3 linked regions of the Coturnix japonica genome follow. The protein of the gene in region 3 purifies or fractionates together with the protein of the main gene of each other region. This does not show direct contact. Links are inferred from orthologs where the notes say so. Each region holds a gene or a part of one and is shown on either strand. Other genes may lie near its edges.

What was found.
Region 1: the proteins of SEM1 (region 3) and RAD23B purify together in Homo sapiens (co-immunoprecipitation; 3 studies listed by BioGRID and IntAct, with this or other methods). This does not show direct contact. The link is inferred for Coturnix japonica from reciprocal best matches to the Homo sapiens genes SEM1 and RAD23B.
Region 2: the proteins of SEM1 (region 3) and UBE3C purify together in Homo sapiens (affinity purification with western blotting; 3 studies listed by BioGRID and IntAct, with this or other methods). This does not show direct contact. The link is inferred for Coturnix japonica from reciprocal best matches to the Homo sapiens genes SEM1 and UBE3C.

What each region holds. Positions count from the first base shown.
Region 1 is NC_029547.1:49,513,403-49,520,878, reverse strand, and holds part of RAD23B (UV excision repair protein RAD23 homolog B), read right to left. Parts: intron 4,615-7,476; coding exon 4,487-4,614; intron 276-4,486; coding exon 152-275; intron 1-151. UniProt on the Homo sapiens protein: Multiubiquitin chain receptor involved in modulation of proteasomal degradation. Binds to polyubiquitin chains.
Region 2 is NC_029517.1:7,650,614-7,658,735, forward strand, and holds the start of UBE3C (ubiquitin-protein ligase E3C), read left to right. Parts: upstream 1-3,171; 5' UTR 3,172-3,375; coding exon 3,376-3,441; intron 3,442-8,122. UniProt on the Homo sapiens protein: E3 ubiquitin-protein ligase that specifically catalyzes 'Lys-29'- and 'Lys-48'-linked polyubiquitin chains.
Region 3 is NC_029517.1:22,206,950-22,214,890, forward strand, and holds the start of SEM1 (26S proteasome complex subunit SEM1), read right to left. Parts: upstream 4,122-7,941; 5' UTR 4,039-4,121; coding exon 3,963-4,038; intron 1,299-3,962; coding exon 1,205-1,298; intron 1-1,204. UniProt on the Homo sapiens protein: Component of the 26S proteasome, a multiprotein complex involved in the ATP-dependent degradation of ubiquitinated proteins.

The sequences.
Region 1 (7,476 bases), on a different chromosome or scaffold from region 3:
AGCCACTACCACATGTAGCTAATTTTTGTATTATGGCTCTAATCGACTCACTTTGCTCAGTTCACAATTACCAGGAATTCAAATTTACTAAAAGCACAGAATGTTTCAATGCACATGTTTATTGTATCTCCTCAAGAATACTCTTTCTTACCTCCTAGTGAAGAAGCAGTTGAAGGTATGGTTGCTACAGATGCTGCCACTGCTGAAGACTGAGAGGTACTAGCGCTTGCTGCTTGAGTTGGTTCAGCCACAGCCGGATTATCTCCAGGTATGCCCTAAAACCACAGTTGACATTGTTACCTACAGAATACTGCACATATTTTAGATTTAAGAACAAAGAAAAAATATTACCATTTTCACTGCAAATCCAAAGCAAGATGCTGTGACAGGTGTTCACTTACAAGTGGAGAAGCATACTGCGACAGAAATAATTTGTCACGGTAAAGCATCTCTATCAGTTTAGTAGTGCATTTCAAGTCCATGAACAAATACTTGCTATGAATTATGTTCCAAGGTATTTGACATGAATAGAAAAGTTAAACTACCTACAGTGTTATGTTATGGAGTCTTGCAAACAAAGTTACTTTACAGCGACATAATCATGTATTACACAATGCTAACTGAACTTACATCAAACAGTTACTTTCTTATCAGCAAAGTTAATCAAGAGGCAGCACAGCTCTTTCAACCACTTTCATCAAAAAAAACAGTTTGACAGTCATCATTCACCAAACCTTCTGTGAAAATGCCTGAAAAGTTACCAGACTTTCAGCAGAAACAGTCAACCTGTATTCTCTTTATTGTTTTGCATGCAAAGAACTTCACATATTAAATAACTGTTCAGGGCAGCGAGCCTAACAAATCTAGAAACCCAGGCAGATATTACTACCTTTTTCCTACCTGGAAACCCTTCCCATCCTAACCACGTTCTTCGTCACTGAATTCCTGTACCAAATTTGCCTTGTCCCCCCTTGAAGCCCAGAAATACCTTTCCAAGCAGCCTTTTGTATCAGCATAGAACAGACAACAGAAAGGTTCGTATGTGGCTACACCCTGATGGTACAGGGAGAGAGAAATGCTAAGCAGGACAAACACATGAAAAGCAGACTCCATGGAGTAGTAATGCTGCTGACATGCACTGTATTAACTGGGGGAGTTACACTAAGCCCAGTCCTGAACAAGCAAGCCTATATAAGATCATCTACCTCACAGCACTCCATCTCCATGGCACCAAAAATCCACAATTGTTTGAGAAGGCAGAAAGTCTGGTATGAAGGAACACATTTCACCTACTTTAAAGGAAAAAGGCATCCTTCATTTTGGGAACAACTACACATGAGGAAAAGAATGGGTGGAAATAAGCACAGAACTACACTTGTACTGTTAATCACTGGGATAATTTTCTTGACTATAGCTGTATGATTCTGTGTTTTGGATTTGCGATGATGCAATTTAGGGTACGTGTCAGGAGGGAATTCTTTATTCAGAGGGCAGCAAGGCCCCAGAACAGCTGCTCAGAAAAGCTGAGGGTACCCCAACCCCGGAGGAGCTCAAGGCCAGGCTGGATGGGGGCCCTGGGCATCCTGAGCTAGTGGGGGGCACCCCAGCCATGGCACAGGGTTGGGTGGGTGTTAAGGCATCTTCCAAGCCAGTCTGTTCTGTGACTCCACCACATTGTAGAATGGCCTGAGTTGAAAAGGACCACAGAGATCATCACATTTCAATCCCCCTTCTATGTGCGGGGTTGCCCACCATCAGACCAGGCTGCCCAGAGGCACATCCAGCCTGGTCCTGGATGCCTCCAGGGATGGGGCATCCACAACCTCCTTGGGCAACCTGTTCCAGGGCTTCACCACCCTCTGTTTCACAAAAACTTCCTCCTAATATCTAACATAAACCTCCCCGTCTCAATTTAAAACCATTCCCCCTAGTCTTATCACTATCCACCCTTGTAAACTGTCATACCCTCTCCTGTTTATACATTCCCTTCAAGTATTGCAGCAATGATCTTATGAACGTGTGTTAACCTTCTGGAATTACTGGTTGACTTTACATATTCTCAGGAAAGTGTCGTCACTACTGTCTGTATCCAGACCAATCAGTGAATGTTTGTATAAACCTCAAGTCTGTCCTTGAATGGAAACACTATGGAAACTAGCCTAACCAAATTTACTTAGAGACAATTTACTATTTTGAATATTGTCTCAATTCTTAAATACAACGTTGAAATATTACTATCAAAAAAACAAACAATCCACCATACAAACCTAGACTATATGTGATGGTAATCAGTAAGGTATATGCACCCCCTTTACACATCTATACAAGCACGGTATCAATAAACATAAACTTAAATTTGGAATATAAACATCACTTGAACTGTGAAAAGGGCATTTTTTTGCCTTACTGTGGGCAGATCTGCTCACAGTTTAACCAAACAGAGTGGCTTACTAGCAGACAACATTCACCACAGGTGTGTGTAATAATCATATCAGGCACAGTCCAAGAAGCATACACATTTTTGGACAACGAGGGTTGTAAAGAATTAAATAGCTGGATGACTGACAGAAAATCTAATTAACAGGTTAAGAAAACCTTTGGTCAAAACCAGATTTGAATCTAAATATCTCCTAAACACAAGTCTGAAGTAAAATAAATAAATAAATAAAAATTTTTAGAAGTGTGTTTTAGAATTGAAATCTCCTTCTACAAACACAGCTCAAGGATATAGGACAATATATGATTGAGAAACTAAGCCATAAAAATTGAATAGCTTGTTAAATGATCCCACTTGCTGTCAGTGATTCTCCAGTTCTCATCTCCAGAACAGCTACATTAACTACACTTGACCTTTCCTTTCCAGCCGCTTATAGGCTTTTTTCTTGGTGCTGATTCTTCAAACCACAATAATTGTGTGCACTTAAGAGCTCAACATCCTAAAGCTACCCTGCAGATCATTTGGAGGCTGTTAAACTAGGAGATCAAAGAACCGCGTTATCAGTGGAACAATACTAACTGAAGAAAACATTTTCCTGATGCAGCAGATTGGTCATGAACATATTTAGATAGACCAAAAAACTGTCTAAAAGTTCAGTAGCACCAATAGCATTTTTCTAACAGAAAAAAAAAGAGTCTGTATACTAATGTTCTCTGAGAACAAGATTACTTCTCACCACTCCTTTCTCCAGCTGACAGAAAAATGAAAACATATTTTCAGAAGAGAATGACAAAAAATAGAAGGGAGAGCACATATGCAAGAGGAAGACCCACAAGCCTAATGAGCAAGAAATTAACTACTCAGGACAGAATCGATCTGTTTGATGAACAAACGTGCCACCTGTTAAACTACCTCCTGGATAATCTATTTTTATTTTTTTCCTCAACACAAATGAGCTAAAGCAGGGAAATATTATTCCGACTGCAAAAGTACTACAGGCTGTACATGACTGGGGAACATACACCAAACGCAGCACTTCAAAGGGGCACTGGATTTATGTACAAACTAAACGCACAGTGAGCAGACAGTAAAACCAACACTTTCCAAGGCATGAAAGATAAATATTTGAGATTTCCAGATTAATGACAGCTGGGTTGGAACTACTCCATTTGCCCTCAGGGTATCAAGAATTCAAAGCCTTTGTTTGCTCCCATTCCAGATGAGAGTTTAACTTTTTACATTCATGTACTAAAAACATTTGTTGCTCATTTAGAAACTACAGGATCTTGGGATCAATTGTGTGAATAGCAACCGTGCCAGTGACTGCTAGTTGTACACACTAACAAAAAATTTTGTTTACAAAAACAAAACTTTGCAGCTGGAGGTCAGTTTTCTTATCAAGTCTCTCAGAAATTCTGTTCTCATACTCTGCAGGGACTAGTTCAAGACAGCTGGCTTTAAAATGAGATGTAATTTAAAAAGCAACAACAACAAAGACAACAACAAAAAACCCTAAAATAACTTACAAGATTTCCATTAAAGTGAAGTTACTATTTTATTACCTCTCAAGTCAATCAAGTTCATTTCACTTTTGAAACTGTGTTTTTGACAAGGGAAACTGTTTCTTGTCCAGAACACTGCATAAGTAAAGCATTTGTTAATAAAAATTTACAAGTCCTTCTGTTTGGAAAACTCATTAGTATGATTGTTGTGTACAACCAGTAGTAATGATGAACAGGAATTTCTAAAGTGTTACCTTGGTGTGATGTTATGCACACTAACAAAACAGCATTATCACTAAGATGTCACAACAACCACTGCTTGGGTTGGTCACTAGCAATTAAGAGCTTCCAATGAAACTGGGTGTGCCTAACACATATAACCACAAAAAAATCAACAGAATATAAGCAAAGCAAGAGATGTAGCTAACAGCAACTTCAGTATTTCCCGTAGCACACGATCAAAACAATATTCAAAATAACAGGTAAATAAAATACAAAGTTCTTCAATGAAGACGAGAGAACGGAGTATACATGACAAACTGCTCACCATTAAAAGGTATTCCACTGCTCTGTCTGGATTGTTGAAGCTGGCTCTCAGCGCTGCAATTACTTGCTCACGTTCATAGCCGATGGACATGATTTCAGTCACCATATTCTCATAGGACTGACCTGTCACTAGAAGTAACATTTTGACCATTGTAAATGAATAAGGTACCAAAAAAAAAAAAAAAAGCTTAAAAAGCTTCAATGGAGAAGTGTCACTTCTATTCAAATTTGAGTAATTCACTGAAGCGTAAACACTGATATCAACCTCACCATGGTTCTATCAAAACATGTTCTGATAGTTTCATTATGCATTTGGTTGGAATAGCAGAGTTCTAGGATAATGAACACACTACAAACTTCCACTGAAAAAAGCAGCACATGTGACAATTCCAACTTCATAACTGAGATACCCTTCCCTTTCTATGCTTTTCCCTAAGCTCAACAATGTCATTAAAACTAATATTCAATTCCTAACATAATTATGAAAAGTCTCCTGCAGTCTAAGTTCAGAAATTAAGCTTTTTAGGCAGAAACCTGCTTGTCAGACTATATTAGCCATTGATGTTTTTTCCTAAGAAGTACTTTATACTAAGCTATGGTTAGAAAGGCGACAAAGTTATGATCAAGTTATAATTGTCTATTAACTATGAGCTGGTGACAACAATCAAAGTAATTTAACCAACTTAACTTGGAGCAACTGAAGTCAAGCAGAAGACTAAAGTTATATCTAAGAGAATCTCAAGACTTCAGTGAGGATTAAGTTATCACAATGTATTTTTGACTAAACATCTATCACACTAAGCTCCCGATCTTGTCTGGGTGCAAACATACTAAACCTGGCTCATGCCTGCAGATATCAAGACAAAGTTAAAAAATACTGCATATGGAACAGTTTCAGGGCAGTTCATTATACAATTGGTTTAGAAATAAATAAAATTAAGTATACATAAACTGCTTCATTTACTTCTGTTAAAAACAGACAAGGTTTAAAAAAACCCTCTGAAACAAAAAGGAAAAAACTATTCTATTCTGAATTGTAATTGAGCAACATTTTAAGGGAGACTTCCCACAGAGAGTCAAAAGGAAAAACTAAAAAATATATTTAAGAGTAGAACAGCACTACCTCAAAGACACTTGTGCATTACACATAAATAATGATTTAACATCTATTGGCTAGTGTGAGTACCCACTGTTCAGACTTCAAAACAGAAGATTTAACCAACTTAAACAAAGGTACATACATGTCTTTACATATAGCCATTATTTTACATACTCATTTCCTTAAAATAAGCAATCATGAAAACTTTGCCTTAAAAATTATATATTATTGTACATATCTTCAAAAAGCAAAAAAGCCAAAACTGTTCCAATACAGTAGTTTATTTATCAACTTTCTGCTCGTATTTTCCCATCCACCAACAGTTTATTCTTACTACTGATCATGGACTTATGAAGATAAACAGCACACAGAATACCTTTTCATTTAATTAGTTAATGCTTAAACATTTCTGTAGTGCTTTTCTCAATAAAAGCTTGGTAGAGACCAGAGCAGTGATAGATTTTGTACAGAAAAAAGAAGGAAGAAGGAAACAGAAGTACTGTGAATCTAAGCACATGTACTCCATACACAGTCTATTTAAACAGTATAATAACATGAGACCAACAGCAGTAGTTCAGGAATTGCACACCAGCAGTACCATCATACAGCCAGGACTCTCTCTAAATAATGTTAGCTAAGATTGTTTGTGAGAGTGCAGCTGGGTGTGCTTGCCTGTTGGCCACAACTGCATGTGCTGGGGTGTAAATCAGTGCAGTCCAGGGTACACATTAGCTCTCTCTGCTTTTTAATAACACACATCCCAGGCCAGATTTCGTAGGATCACAGAATGAAATTGAAAGAGACCTTAAAGTCCATCACCAGACAAATCTGCCCACAGCCACATCCAACCTGGTGGTGAGTGCCTCCAGGGATGGGGCACCCACAGCTTCTTTGGGCTGCCTATTCCAGCACCTCAAAACAAAAGCAATTCAGTAGAAAACAATGTCTGTTTTTAAGTGAAGTCTATTATGCTCCTACAGGGTAACTGAAAAGCAACAGTATGAACATGACTACGATCCCATTTAGGATGCAAAAACATACTCTATTAAATCAAGTAAGCAAATTCCTTTTAAAATAATTTCTGAATTAAAAGAGTTTATGCTTATTGCCTTTAGAAATAGAACTTGGCAGCATTCTGCTCTGGAAGACTACATTCAGTGTCTTGTGCTTCCAAATGTTAGGGTCATGTGTTTACTATACCAGAAAGAATTTTCACATAAAATAGATATGGATGGTGGTCCTCTTCTCCTGCACTAAAGAAGTCTTTTCATCAGTTTTGTAGGCATCTGTATCAAGACAATCAGTTTAATTTAGATAACTGGTCATTATTGTTAACTGGAGTATTTATAATGACCAGATCTCTGTCATTAAGCAATAATTAATAGTTAAGGAAGCTTGCAGCACCTCTGGTACTTTAAAAAGGCAACAGAAGTAGACCAACTGTTTCCTACAGTACCTTGTTAGCTATTTCAGTTCATGCAGTTCTTCAGTCTACTCTAGCACATCATAATATAAAACCCTAAACAGACTAAACCTTGTGTTACTAACAAAGGTTAAACATTTCTTGCCTTTAGAATACCTAAGGCTGTTTAGTCACAACACCTGCTTCTAATGCATCCAAATATTTCTACACAAAAATGTATGTGAAAGATATTTTGGTTTAACATTTTATTCTAAGATACAGGTTAATGTTCACAAAGACAACACAAGTCCATTTCCCTCTTTATTTCTGCGTGCTAACTTGCTACACTCAAAAAAACTCCTTACAAAAATTTAAGTAGGGGTACTGTTTACCTAATAATTTCCTAAGTACCAAAATAAGCACAAGAGAAGTTTAGAAATTCCTGCTGATTTTATTCTGTTTAATCCACTGAGAAACATAGACATTTCAA
Region 2 (8,122 bases), about 15 Mb from region 3:
AATAGCAAAACTATTAAAGAAAAGTAATAAGAGGGAGGAAAGAGTATTTTTCTGCTTGTGTAGTTCATCTAGGGTATGTTCGTGAGACAGAGGATGGGAATGTGTAATGAGAAACAAAGTAAGTGGAGTGGGACTTCTTGTTCTGCTGCAGCTATGGCCATGCTCCTACCCTCCTACAATGAACAGGGACAACTACAGCTTGTTCAGATGCTTAGCGCCTCATCCAGCCCCACCATTAATGTCTTCAAGGATGGAGCATCCACCACCTCTCTGTGCAACATGTTCCAGTGTATCACTGCCCTAACTGTAAAAAGCTCTTTCCTTGCATCCAGTCTGTATCTTCCATTTTACTTTGAAACTATTTCCCCTTGTCCAGTCACAACAGACCCTGCTAAAGAGCCAGGCCTCCTTCTTTCTCCCTTTCAATACTGAAAGATATTTTAGACACCAGAAGATACTTTAGATACTGAAGTTCCTCAGTTGCAGTGACTTATCTACACTGCACTAAATACAGATGCATGAAAGGTGCTTTACAGCATTATATAGTTAGAGATATATTATTTAGAGATATTTTGTATGTATGTATGTACTTAGAGAAAGTGATTCTTAGATCATGGTGAGGGTAATAAATCCAACAACACTGAAGAAGAAAAGGGAACTTGAAAATGGAATACTTGTCATCAGTGATTCTCACATATTCAAACTGAATAGCCCAAATACCTGCTTTCAAATAAGAGGCAGAAAAGATCAATAAGGCTCAGAGGAATTAAGACAATTTTGAGTAACAGAAGATTTTTAACAGTTTGCCGTCTGGTGAACAACTGGACTTCTGCAGGCAAGTTGTACCTGGAAGCAATGTGTGCATATACATGCAAAGAGGAAAAGGAACAATCAAAGGTCATAAAACTGTAAGAAGGAAAGAAAAAAAGCCTCATGGAATGTGCATTAAGAAAGGAAATGGGAAAGATGGGAAACTGCACATGAAGCTAACTTCATTGCAGCAGGAGAGGCATGTAGATGTTAACACAGGCATCCATCTGAGGTATTTGTTTGTCAATGCTCTGAATGCACTAAGAGGACTTAATTGTCCTGATCAGCTTCAGCTGGAAGTCCCACTCACTCCTTGCATCAGGAACAGCCTAGGAGAGTTATCTCTAACTCTGTTTCTTGGTTGAACCTTGGGCCCATCTCTTGTTTCTGGCTACTTGTGGTTGGGCATTCTGGACTCTCCCTCTCACCATGTCTGGGGCTGCCAGTGGATTCTGTAACCACTGATTGGGTTCTGCCTGCTATTTTGAATCCTGTAAGATTATGTCCTGGCATGGTGAGGGCATTGCCTGTCCTTGGATCAAACCTGCGCCCACTCATTTTCAAGGAACCTTGCTCTTGATGCTCCCTGAGAATATGAAAGCAGTCCCCACACTGACTTCTTGAAGAAGCGTTTTCTGACTACTCACCTGTCTTCTCCACTGGTAATGTAAACATATATTTTGCATTAAATTAAAAGAGAAAACAGGTTTAGTTTCCTGTATGCCTCCTTAAATTCACTGTATTCAAAATACAAAACCTCAGTTTATCCTAAGTTATCCTTGTTTAATAAAATGACACCTAGTGTGGCCTCTAGGGGCACACACAAATCATTCCTCAGGCAAACATCCATCAGTTGGGTCAGTTACCAGCTGCTTCTTCAGCAGGGAGCATCCTGAGTCAGCAGAGGATCTTGTGGCTTTCTAACATTGAAGCTGGTCCCTGCCAGACGTGTATTTGTCCCAGATCCATTGTACAGAAACCCTCCTTATGTAGAGTATTCCATTTTCTTGGTGCCAAACTGCCCAGCAGTGGTGTGACATTACATCAGCAATACAGAGTGTTTCAACTGTGAATCAACACTTGACACGGTATTTCACAACGCTCTAAACCTCAGCTGCACCAGTAAACAGTATTTATAGGCCAGACTTGCTCATACCGAAACTGTTATCTCAGGAAAAGCACAGCTCATATACAGCCTTGCCAAGCACTTGTGCCATTAAAAGACTGATATGTTAAAATCTAGATGCTTTGAAATCATCAAAATTAGAAGAAATATCAATGAATTGTTTCTTAGCTTGGAGACTGATGCAGGCCTGGATTTCCACACAGCCTTACCTCACGGATCCTTGCCATTACTTGGGATGCAGCGATGTGAGAACTCACATTTCCACTAAAGGAAATGAAAGCAGGAGTGGAGCACATAGATTCACTTAACACCTCATAGCTGCAGAGTGAATAAATGCTTTTTGTTATTGCTTTCATCCCTATCACGTCTGTGTCTGAAAGGACACCAAGAAATGGCGGTCGGTCGGGCTGAGGAATGTGACATAAAGAGCCTGGGGTGTAGTTTCACCCCAAGGTGTGCTGATATGAGGTGACAGCTGCCGGCCTGGTGAGGCCCCAGCCCCACTCACTCAGGACTGTTTCTCTGGTGAGTTTTCAGACTTGGACTTTGCAAAGGGGGTAACAGCAGCCACAAGCTCATTCTACAGAAAGGACGGATGAATTTAGAAGTACTGGTGTTTCACAGAATGAGCCGGGTTGGAAGGGACCTCAAGGATCATGTAATTCCAACCCCCCTGCCTGGCAGGGCCACCAAACATACACATTTACTAGATCAGGTTGCCCAGGGCCCCGTCCAACCTGGTCTTGAACACCTCCAAGGACGGGGCATCCACAACCTCCCTGGGCAGCCTGTTCCAGACCTAACCACTCTCCTAGTGAAGAACTTCCCCCTAACATCCAACCTAAATCTTCCCTCTTTCAACTTAAAACCATTTCCCCCTGTCCTGCTATTATCAGCCCTTTCCAAGAGTTTACTCCCCTCCTGGGTGTAAGTTCCCTTCAGCAGCTCCAGGTTTCTCCATCCCACCTTAGGGAACTGAGGGGCGGCGCGGCCCCATCGGTTGCGGGCGGTGCGCGCACGCTCCTGTCGTCGGGAGCGCGCGTGGGAAGCTGCAGGCGGCGGCCATCTTCTCTCAACCGCCGGCTGCTCCCCCAAGTGCAAGTAAAGCAGCCCCTCCAGCCCCCTCCTCCTCTCCTTCCCTCCTCCTTATTCTCCCTCCCACTACGCGCAGCCGCGGCAGCCGGTCAGGAGGGGGGCGACCGGGGGAGAGAAGGCCGCGGGGCGGGGAGAGGGGACGGGGGGGGAGCGGCGCGGGGTTCGCCGGCTGCGGGGTGCCAGCCTGGGGGGGAGCGGCTACCCGGGGCCGTGGAGATCCCTTGTAGATCCCTTGGAGATCCCTTGGAGATCCCTTGGAGATCCCTTGGAGATCCCTCCGCTCGGCGCTGGTGGCGGTGTCCGCTCCGGGCCGGGCGCCTCTCTAGATGGGATAAGCTGTAAACATGTTCAGCTTTGAAGGCGATTTCAAAACAAGGCCCAAGGTGTCTCTTGGAGGAGCGAGTAGGAAGGTAAGAGACGCCTCTTGTCTTGTCTCCGTGTTTACGTCCGCTTGGCTTGTCCTCTGTTGTTATTTTTACCGTTGGGCCTTTAAAAAAAAATAATAAAATGGGAGCAGCTATGACTAAGGTCTACCACGGAGCCCAAATCCTCCCTTCCTGATGATGCGTTTATCTCCCTGCCTCTGTTCTCTTATTTATTTCCCTTCCCTTCACACCACTCTCCCCCTCCCAGGCTCATGGGCCCAGAGCCGGGGCAGCGGCCTTAACACGGCCCAGGTCAGCGCATGTTACTGGGGAAGGCTTCACCCGCACGGCTGGAGCTTGTCAGGTCGCTGCAGCTGGAGCTTTGCTCTCTCAGGTTTCCATACAGCAGCAGTTTGATGGCTGCTGGCTTTTATGGATGGAGAAGAAGCAGAGTGGTTTATTTTGGTTTGACTGCCTTGCCCCAGCTGAATGGTTGGGCGCAAGGAGTGAGAGAGAAAGGCCTGATGTGTCAGGGACGCTCTAATGCACTGCTACAATACTAGTTCCCTGTGTTATCATTGTTACATCTCTTTTTGCTGTTTTCAGTGTTATTTCAGTCTTCATGGGAGCAACAAAAGCTGTTGTTACTGTGCACTATAAGCGAGTTCAGTTCTCTTGTAGGGTTTGGCAGTAAGTTTGGAAGGCAACAGAAGTACTTCAGTGTGTGACATTAAAGTCATGACAGAGTTTTCTTCAGGCATCTCACATCTTTTAGTACCGAGAATGTTCAACAGAATGGCATTGAAGTGCAGCTTCTCACCTGAATCATCTTATCTGAAGGCAGTTCTGTTCATTAGACCACCTACAGTTGCATTACATGAATCATAAATACCATCAATGTTGCCTGGTTGAAGTAGGAATTGGCAGAACATGCCCTGGCCCTTGACAATAAGCTTCGGGCACTTGGCAGCTTTTAGCATCAACTTGCTAATAGCGTTACTTATAGAGCATGTTTCCTCTTCTGAAAATAAACAGTTGATGTATCCTTTGTTAAACCTACTGATTTCTTCATGGAAATTCAACAGAATTTCTTGTTATACATATTAGTTGTATGTGCTGACTTTCTGCAGGTACAGATTTACCAGAGTGAATATTATACGAGGAAGGAAATGGAAACTGAAACTGTTGTATAAACTTCACTCAGTCCAATAAAGGATAATATTTCACAATCAATCAGCTTTACACTGAGCGGTGTATAGATTGCAGGGCATTACTGCACTATATGGGATGCTTGTGCTGCATCAAGGCAAAACACTCAGTTGCAGCTCTGGCCATCCTGAACAGCTGCTGGTTTTCAGAACCTGTGCAGTGTTAATGACTTGGAAGTGCAGTTTATGTCCACTTCTGTGTGAACGCACTACAGTGGAGTGTGGTCTGTGTCTCTTGTCTCATGTCCTAGGCTGTTTGTGATCACGTTTCCTTTTACCTGTAGGCTTGTATGCTGGCTGCTTAGTGCTGAGAATAGTTTGATTTGGGGATCTTTCCCACATTTTGTTGCACCTGGATAGCTGTATTTTGACAAAAGCAAGTGTAGAGTCTTGCACCTGGGTAGAAATAATTGCATGCACCAGTACAGGCTGGGGGAAGACCTGCTGGAGAGGAGCTCTGCTGAGAGGGACCTGGGTGTCCTGGTGGATGACAGATTAACCATGAGCCAGCAGTGTGCCCTTGTAGCCAAAAAAGCCAATGGCATACTGGGGTGTATTAAAAAGAGCGTGTCCAGCAGGTCAAAGGAGGTGATCCTCCCCCTCTATTCTGCCCTGGTGAGGCCTCATCTGGAATATTGTGTCCAGTTCTGGGCTCCCCAGTACAAAAAAAACAGGGATCTCTTGGAAATAGTCCAGCAGAGGGCCACAAAGATGGTGAAGGGCCTGGAGCATCTCCCCTATGAGGAGAGACTTAGGGAACTGGGTCTATTTAGCCTTGAGAAAAGAAGGCTGAGAGGGGACCTGATGCAGGTTTATAAATACCTGAGGTGTGGGAGCCATAGTGGCGAGACTGGTCTCTTTTCAGTAGTGCGTGGGGACAGGACTAGGGGTAATGGGATGAAAGTACAGCATAGGAAGTTCCGCACGAATGTGAGGAAGAACTTCTTTACAGTGAGGGTGACGGAGCACTGGAACAGGCTGCCCAGGGAGGTGGTGGAGTCTCCTTCTCTGGAGATATTCAAGACCTGCCTGGACGCCGACCTGTGTGACGTGGTGTAGGGAGCCTGCTTTGGCAGGGGGGTTGGACTCGATGATCTCTAGAGTCTCCCTTCCAACCCCTACAATTCTGTGATTCTGTATTTAGCAGAACACAAGCACGGAGCCAGGCACTGCAGTGTGTGGAGTCGGTCTGTCAGCACTTCACATGCCAGCAGTGTTGTTCTGATGTGGATATAACTACACCGACATAAACCATCAGCAAACCTGACTGGTAAAGGAGAGGTTTGGCTAATAATAACTACAGCCACAGCTGGTAACCTTGTTGGTCTTGGGTCACATATGCTGGCAGCCCACCTGACATTGCCATTTACTTCTGTAGTGGAGATGTACCAAGTCTTCCTCAGGCCTTCTGACACCTGAGTCCTACCAGCATATGTACAATGATCCAAGTATTGCTGTGTCTAAAATGGGTCTTGTGGTGGCAGTTAGAAAACTTCCAGTCCCAATGTGATTATAAATTTATAAAGACTTAAGGCAGATTGAAGTTAATAGATATATTAGTTTGAGGAGGTGAATTGTCAGATTGTCAGACCTACACAGTAGGTCTTGATGTATAGTGTGTGAAAATAAAAACAGGGGTTTAAGAAAAGGATGATGAGATGTAATATGAAATGTTTATTTTAATTACTAGCAGCTTTCCCTACGGAAGGCTCTGAACCCAATGTGCTTTCTCACCACTAAGTTTTACCATGTTGTTGAATGGAGAAAGCAGCAGCTTAAGGTCAGTGTTTACGCTGTATGTATCTTGTATGTGTTACACTGTATGCATCCCATTCATTGGGATGGTCTGGGCTGTGAATGCTGTAGAAAAGCACTGAAATCCAGCTTAGCTTTTTACCAGGAGTTTGCTAAGTCTTGGATTGCAGGATTAATTCAATCAAAATGACTGCTGCTTTCAAAATGTTGTGACGTTTGAGTGCTATATTTTATAATAGGTGTAAAATATAGATGACATTGTCAGCGTTTGGACTATTCTGTCCACCTCCTTTCACAAATCTGCTGATTCATCTGGGTTATTGCACTGGTTGTGTATTTGATAGAGGGAATGGATGCTGTTTTGGTGTTTTATTTACAGTGTGATAAGTTGTTGTACTATGCTATTGCTGACAATAGCAGGACACGGGGAAATGGTTTTAAGTTTAGTGTGAGAAAGGAGGGAAGATCTAGGGTTGGATGTTAGGGGAAGTTCTTCACTAGAGAGTGGTTAGGCCTGGAACAGGCTGCCCAGGGAGGTGTGGATTGCCTCGTCCTTGGAGGTGTTCAAGGCCAGGTTTGGACGGGGCCTGGGCAACCTGATCTAGTAAAGGTGGTATGTCTGTTGTGGCACCTGCCAGGCAGGGGGTTGGAAACTACATGATCCTTGAGGTCCCTTCCAACCCGGGTCATTTTGTGATTCTGTGACTAATGTTAGGGGTCTTTATTGTCACCATTAAAACGCAATTCCCGCCTGCTTCATGAGGCTCCTCAGAAGTTATTTTCAGATGTAGTTTTAATTATAACTGGTACAACTTCTTAAGTATTTCCTAAGTTAGTAGGCCCCAAAATGCATGCTTTATTTGGGATCGGTATGGGAAAATCCTGGTGGTGTGCTGGCAGGAATAAAGGGGACACTTGAAGAAGCTGTTTTGGGTGTACTTCAAATGAGTTAACCCGCAGAATCAAGAATGTAGCTCTACATTCATCATATATGTGATGAGCTCTATTAAGACTTCTTGTAAGTCTTCAACAGGGAAAAAATGGTTAAGATATGTTATGAAGCCAAATGTATAATCTAAAACATATGGAGAAGTGCTTTTACAAATCCCAAGACTTTTAAAAATAGAGTAATTTTAAATTACAAATGAGACAGCTTTACAACAGCTTTAATAAAGTCCCTTTTGTTTCTTTTAATGCTCTTGTTTTTATAAGCAAGGAACTGTTGCTTACCAAGTTCTGTTTATTTCTGTTACTGACATCACGTTCCTGTATATTTCCCCTCCAACTTCCAGGTAAAGTGTGTATGGGGAATTAGGTAGTTAGTGCATATGAGTCATTGTGGGTGACATTTAACTCCTCCTCACTTGAAAAGAAGCTACAGGTTGTATGTTAGCTGGGAGTGGTGATGGAATTGCTGCTGTCAGTACAGGCTGTTGTCTCACACTTGAAAACACATTTCTGCTCTTATACAGTGTGTGTATTTAGCGTAGACTATTTTGGTGCTGAATAGAACAGCGTTTTCCATTAAGAAGGGAATAAGCTCCTCATTTTACAAAGAATCACAACGTTAATATTTCAGTTGTTAGCAATTGTTGTTCTTCTTCTAATGTACTCAACGTTTAAACGCTACGTGAAATAATTGCTGCTGTTTCTCATTTTACACCTCATAAAGTTAGTTTTATATTGTTCCAAGTGGAGTTAAGATGCCTTATAGCAAGATGTGTCAAGTGATGTTCAGTTTCGAAGATGCCTGAAAGTTAAAT
Region 3 (7,941 bases):
AAGAACTACGCTGTTTTATAGCCTAGTCCTAGCATGTATCTCTACACAGCAGCCTAAACCTCAGGTTAGTTTACACAGTGTTGGAATTCAAGAAGTGGAGAAGTGCACCACTTTCTTTCTGAAGATGAAATAAAAACATGCTGCAACAAAGCAACATTGCAAACTATCATTTTAAGGCAAGTGTAAGGACGCCAACAGTATAAGCTATAATTAGGACATACATTGAAGGCCTGTTGTCATCAACTATATTTGTCAAAAATTATACCATCCCTGTATTTCATTGTATATCAGCATTACATTTCCAACATTACAGTTCAACTACCTTCCAACCTTGTAAGCAAGGACTATAACAACAAACTGGTTCTGTATCTGCTACACAAAGGGTCACTTTCTCCCTTTACAAAAGAGATCATCCCAGGAACCGTTAATCAGTCCCTACTGCAGACATTTACTCTGCATGCAACATAATGAAGGTCTAATTATAAAACGTGAATTTGTGTTGACTCTTGAAACAATTTAGATTACAATTACACGAGTAAATCATTAACTGAAATGACAAGTGACCAAGAGGATTACACAAGTGGATTAGAGGTACCCAAATTATTAGCACTTTTTTAAAGCACTTTGCAAATATTTACTCTGTCCTTGCTGCTCATTGCACAGAAGAAGGGAACATGAAATGGTTATAAGTTAAAAGAGGGAAGATTTAGGTTGGATGTTAGGGGGAAGTTCTTCACTAGGAGAGTGGTTAGGTCCTGGAACAGGCTGCCCAGGGAGGTTGTGGATGCCCCGTCCTTGGAGGTGTTCAAGGCCAGGTTGGACGGGGCCCTGGGCAACCTGATCTAGTAAAGGTGTATGTTTGGTGGCCCTGCCAGGCAGGGGGGTTGGAACTACATGATCCTTGAGGTCCCTTCCAACCCAGGTCATTCTGTGATTCTGTGATGAACAAATATGGAGAAGTTTTCCACCGATCACCTGTCTATCTGGTCAAAGCACAGCAATGCTATTTTGAAGGTACAGAAAATGTTTTTACCAACACACTTTGCTTACCATATAGCAAAGCACAGAGAATCCTGGCTCCCTTGCCATTAATCTCTGTTGTACATTTCAGCAGATTTCCAAGTATCTGATACTAATAACTAAGCAATGCAGTTATAAACATTTTATCCAGCTTCTAGAATACCAAGTTAAAAACTAAAATTACCTTAACTGATTGGAGAAATCATCTTCTACGTTGTCATCATCCCAATTGTCTTCCCAGACATGTGCATCTTCATCTTCGTCTAAACCAGTCCAATCTAAAGACAGGAAGAGAAGGCTACATAGCATACGTTGCTCTGCTTTGGTACCACATCTTAGTGATCTCTGGGTAGGGCAGACTTCAAACGATAAGGAATTTCTCACCTTTCTATTCAAGTCTGGATCATTCTCAAGTGTTCATGAGACCAAACAGCGCAGTGAGATTAATTAAAAACAACAACAAATGAATCTCCTGATTTATACAGGAGAACATACAGTTCACTCACATCACGCACTGACAGTCTGTGGATAAATGCCACAAACGTATCTGTGATGCAGCAGCAAAGGCAAAGTGAAAGATGCACCTGCCAACAGCAGTCGATACCAATAACCTACTTCCCTCTCAGTTGTCTGCCTGAGTTCAGGGAAAGCTTTGAGAACAAAGGGCCAAAGTAACATTAAACATGGACATGTATGAAAAAACCTTGTAGGGCAAAAGATTAAGAACTAGTTCATTTTCTTTACAAAAAGAAAAGTTGGTTCTTGCATTTTTCTTCTCCTTTTAATGCTGACAGGCAACAAGATGAGCATCTGAGATTCACCAGGAAAGAAAATCCATTTGTAACTGATTAAAGACACAGATGGAGTTACCATTAAACTCCTCAAATTATATAAAGGGAAAAAAAATACGAAGGAATGTAGAAATTCTACTGGTCTTAAAGAAAGAAAAAAAATGGGGCAGATGAGGAAACACTGCAGTATGAAACAATACATTATTTGAATGTAGTTGTACCACTCACTGGCTAAAGGGAGGGATTTTAATTGAGTACAATCTACAATAAGCTTTGCCAATTTGTGGGCAACTGACATTTTTTTCCAACGCAAAAATTTAACCATTCATGTGACTATTTGGATTGATCCAAAAAGCCTCAACCAGTATCGAAGTTAAATTCTATCTACTAATGTAAAATAGCTCAAAATGGTTTCCAAAAACCCACAACTCACATTCATCACAACAAATTCAGCTGCAATCACAGAAGCTGGGGATGCTGGAAGAGTGTTTCAAACATCACTGAGTAAAGAAGAAGCAAAAAGGCCACATTGCCTTCCTCAGCAGAAAGGAGAAAGGGAGGGAGGGAAAGAAAAGAGGAAGTAAAGCTGAAATTATTCTCTCCCTGCTGCAGCTACAAGATTCTACAATGTACAATTCTGCAATCTGTGTGTTGACACCACACGCCAGAATTATATACTCCAACTATTCCAGCTCTACCACATGCCTGTGAGTAACAGTAAAAAACAATAGTGTTATCTGGGATTGGAAATGCAAAGAACATCGGAGAGCCTGCTACTACTAAGTACTGCTACTATACACCAAAATCAACATCTATTTGATAAGCTTCTCATGAATAGACTCCTTAAAAAGTATCTGAATATAATGTATCTCCCCATATTTGTCACCTGAGACAGGACAACAAAGTGCTCTCTGGAGTAGATAATAACAAAGCAGGCAGTCCTAACCTTCTTTATGACCTCTCAACATTATTATCTCACTTGAAGATTTCATTGGGCCTCTTTAACAAGGTACAGCAGCAGGAAGTCAGGCCATGGCCAGTCTTCAATAAAAGACTGTTCCACCCAGAATTACAGTGTACCTCCACTCGGTTTTTCTCAGCTTTAGGAGCACAGATAGATTTAAGTAGAATTAATTTTACCTTCCTCGGTTTGGATACAGATGCACGCTGAGTCTAACAAGCAGTTAATTGAGTTTGATTTGCTAGTAGACCCATTTCCTCCAGTCTCAAGCACAGTTTTACAGTTTAAGGTCTGCTTGACTGTACAAAGGACTTTTTCTCAGGGTGGTGGCAGGGGAACATGAAGACCAACCCCAGGTTCAGATGCATGCTTTAAGACTTCCTTTGTCCTTACAGTTAATACTTATATTAAATTACAGTATTTTTTTTTAACCCTTTTAAGAAATATATGGAAAAGAAAGCAGAAGGGCTCATCTTCTCTGTCTGCTTTAGGTCTTATCCCTACTATGTGCAAACATAATGTTGGTACAAGTACTGCAAGACTCTGCATCCCTACGGGCCATATAAAGCCACTGTGAAATCACCTCTGAGGAAAACAGGATAGAAAAACAACCCCAGCCATTCCATCCATGTTGTATATAATTTACCACCATTCACAACTCGAGACAGCTGCCAGAACTGGGGGTAGAGAACCAAACAGGGTCCTCCCAAAGTCCACAGCTGTGACAGGCCCTCGGGCTGCTTTGCTGAGGCCCAGACTCCTGCAGCCCCCTCCCTCGATGTATCCTGTACCTACAAAAAGCAAACTAACGCACTTCTGTGCTTGCACAGACGATAATTTGAGCACCTACTGCACGCGTTGCTCCCTTCCCACACAACAACGCAGCTCCCACCCCCCACCTACCCCTCCCACCCGGACACGGCGGGGCGCTCCCGTACGATGACACAGCAGCGCCGTGCAGCACAGCCCTTCCTGCCTGGCCACCGGGCAACGGGGACCCGGGGACTCCATGCGTGGAGGCAGCGGGCACGGCGATGTCCCCGCGGGGCTCTGTGTGGCACGGCACGGTACAGCACGGTACATGGCCGGCCTGGCCCGGCGCGGCCTTCTGGCAGGCGGCGCGGCCTACAGACAGCATGGCCCCCGCCGCTCCGTTTTCCCCATCCCGCCCCTCCCGACCCGCTGGGCACCTTCAGCCGGAAACTCCTCGAACTCGTCGTCCTCCTCCAGGAGCCCCAAATCCACCGGTTGCTTTTTCTCCGACATGCTCGACCCCGCTGCCCGCCGACACTGACGGGATGGCGGCACGGCACGGCGCGGCCCACACTGCGCCTGCGCATCAGCGCCGGCCGCCCTTCCCTCAGCACCGCCTCCCGCACCGCCCTCACAGCGTCCCCACATCGGCGGCACCTGCTGGGCCGCCCCGTGCGGTTCGGACTATTAGATATCCTTCTCTATCCATAGAGAACAAGGCGATGTCCCGTACCAAAAGCTTATAGAGGTCTGTGACCATCCAGCTACTACCCTCTAGGCTTTCCCTTACACAGAGTTGATTTTGCAGCATGCTCAGGAGTTTAAAGATGCTCAGCTGCACCCAGGTTATCTAAGAGAAAAGAACTGACTGCCATACCGTGCCATATCGTGTTTGTGTTCTTAACATAAACCTGTCCTACGCTGCCTGAAGGACCCGTTCTGTACAGCATTCTACAAACCAGACCTTACAAGAAGAGGTCCTAAGGGTTGGATGATGTGAGTGGCATCCCATACTCTGAACAGCCAGACTGTACAGAAGACAAGCAGAAAGCACTTCTCCTCCTGCAGCCAAGTGTTAGAAAAAGAAAACAGCATTTTCACATGCTGAAATTTCACATTTTCTTAAGGTTTCTTACTGGCGTTCTTGGGTCACTTCCTACTCAGTCTTTAGGCCTTGTATATCCCATACCTTACCATCCCTAGGAAGCATATAAAGAATTTCCACATCCTTCTCCACTGAGAAAAACCATCTCTGAATTCCGTGAAGGATGTAGTTGGTAATACTCAAGCCTTTTGGTTGACCTAGCTCCACTGATGTCTCTGAATTCTTTAGAGAAAAGGATTTAAGGATTCAACCATCCAGAATAAGTTTTCCACAGTGAAAGCATATTTAAAAGGTTAGAGGAGAGTGCCCATGACTCAAGTACAATTGGCGTTTGATGGTTTCTAGACCATCAAGAGTAAGAGTTGCCTTTCAGCATATACCCTGTGCAATCAGAGTGGAAAAAGGCCACTGATATCTAATCAGGACATGCTGCCACTGTGGTTTTTTTTATCCTTCCTTTGCTGCAGCACCAGGGCCACTTGCAGTCCTTACAGTCACCGGGCTTGTATCCCACATGGATTGCAGCCACAGAACAAGAAATAGTTTTGATCGTGTTGAGAAGACACTTCCTGCATTCCCAGAACACAGTAAGAGATTTGCTGTTCTGAAACTGTACAGTAACTTGGTTGTATAATGAGTAGGACCAACAGCCTGGCATTCCTGAGTGCTTCAGCAGATAGGTCTACACTCTGTTCCATGGTAATTAAAGGAAAGACATCCTTTAACTCTCAGTGGTTCAGGATATGACCATCCCAATGAAAACCTTAACTTGAATACACCCTTCTCTGGTAGCATGTTGGAATTGATTGAACAAGACAATCCAGAGTAACTCATAAATCCCTCTATTATTTTTTTTTTCCAGAGCTGCACGGCAGCTATTTACTCAGTTATTTTTCTTTAATTTCTTTATATTCAACATGTTTTATGCATTAGTATTAGAAAAGGCTGTCTTCCTCTTGGCAAATGTTACTGCAAGTTGTCTAGCACGGAGGTGAGATTATGTAGATTTATTTATTCAGAATTTAATTTGCATACATGAAAAATGGAAGTAGAGCTTTTTATTTTCTTCACAGTAAAACAAAAATGTGTTTAGTGCAATAGTTCAGACTGCTAAATTTTTTTGTTCAGGTGGACAAGTAGTCATTTCAGTGCCTGGGCCCATCTTCTTTGAACTGGATGTGCTAATGGCTGAGGGCATATTCCAAGGAAAAGATGAAGAGAAAATAGATCAGTTTGTTAATGAATTTGCTTATAAGCTGCCTTAGTTAAAAGTGTCCTGTTGAAAAGGAATTTCAGAGGCATATTAAGGACTTCAGACACCCTGGATAAACCGTTGTCTTGGAGGTCTACGTAGTCTCAGGCTATCAGGCAGTGTCTACTAAGAGAAACTTAATACTGCAAGAGAATGCTCATTGTGAGCATGTGATCCAGCTGATCTCATGGGCATAATGTGGAATCCATGTGCATGGGCACTGCCTAGAGCACCAGCTGAGCCCACACAGCGCCTCTGGATGCAAGAGGTGGACGCCTCTCTGAGCCTAACAGTGCAGGCTAGTAGATATCAAGGAAAGCAGTCAGTTCCAAGAGAATATGGAAGATCTCGCTACCACATGCTTCTCATTCAGAATGCAAGAATTCACCATGCAATACAGAATATCTATCCTGCATTAGGCAGCACATCCAGCAGCTCAAGCAATAGTTACTTCATCCTCCAGAACTGACGTTTTCCATCTCAAGATAACACTGCAATTCATGCTATAACTTTCTGGATTAAACTGGGGAAGAAAAGCATATCCCACATTCAGCATATCTGGACATCAGGAATGGATTGCCCCACTTCTTTCAGTCTAACTGTGCAGCGCTGTTCCCAAGATCAGCACCCTTGGTTTGCTGCTATTTATTTGTTCATGTCTGCAGTGGTTCTTTCTTTCTCTCCAGCTGCTCCATCATTCACCGGCACCTCCTGGTAGCCCACCCTGCTCCTACAGCCCATCTCTTCTCACAGTTGACCTTCACTGAGGTCAGTATGCGATTAGGTGGCTGGAGATCATAAGGAATATTAATCACAAGGAGCACTTAGATGTTGCTTTACAGACTTCCTTATGTGAAATACACTGTGGCAAGCTATCAGGTTACCGGTGGCTGAAAAAGAAACAGCTCTCTCTTTACCCTTGACAGTCGAAAGAAAGTTTGATTTATTTTCTCATTTTCAGTTAGTCCAAAGGCAGCTGGACAGTATTGCTGCAAAGCTCTAGTTGTGTGTCACTGTAATAGGGGCAATATGTTTGTTCACTTCTGCTCTCTTCCTCTGTCTAATTGTTCTATTGTCTTTCTGTTTTCTCTCCACATTTGGGCTGACAAAATGTCTCCTTGGGTTTAGCCCTCTAGCTAAAACTTAACGGGCTCCTAATCAAGGACTAACACCATCAGCGGGCTATTTCCTGTCTTTGTTTACCATTCCTGGTATCATCTTTCTTCTCCTCTCAGTTCATCTTTTCAAATTTTCACTGTTATTTTCCTTCAAATCTTCCTCCATTCAGCGAGCAGGAAGCTTCTTATACACCACTCCCCTTTCATTTTCTGGCCACTTGATCTCTGGCCTCCCAACTGTACGTCCTGGAAGAGAACCAGATGCATTCAGAAACAGATTTCAAACAGCTCTGTAACTCTTGAATATATGTAGCTATGTCAGCAAGATATTTATTACTGAGCCTCAATGCAAACTGTATTCATGTTTTGAACATATGACTAATTACTGGGTACTGTTCACCACGACTTGCATTTCCCTGCAGATATAGAGACAGTCAGGGTACAATTCAGTTGCCTAAACAATGATTTCTAATGTCATTTGAGATGCTCTAAAACACAGGGCTGCATGATGTGTAGTCTGGGAGACCTTCACCCTTCCCCATGGCAGCTGGAGATGAAATGAAATACCCCAGATTTTCCACAATGGTGCCAGTTGCCTGTGTTCAAGGAACTGAGTTGCACTCCCACTGTATGATGGAATAACTGTTATTGATGCTTAAGTGTCTTTTTCCTGTTATTACACAACTGCCTTTGTTTAGCTCTGCCAAGTCTGTGTGAGAATACTGAAGTCATGCTGGTAATCTCAATCCAAACTAGATGCTGGAAAGGTTAGTATGAATCATTAGAAATCAGGTGAACAGAGAAGACCTTTTTTCATATATAAAACACCCTGCCACCTTTACATATCTACATAGTGGCAAAGGTATGGCCAAGATCTATCTAGATCAACCCAAATAAAATCAAATGTTGTAGCCAAAGAATTGCCAAGTGTTATTTTTGAT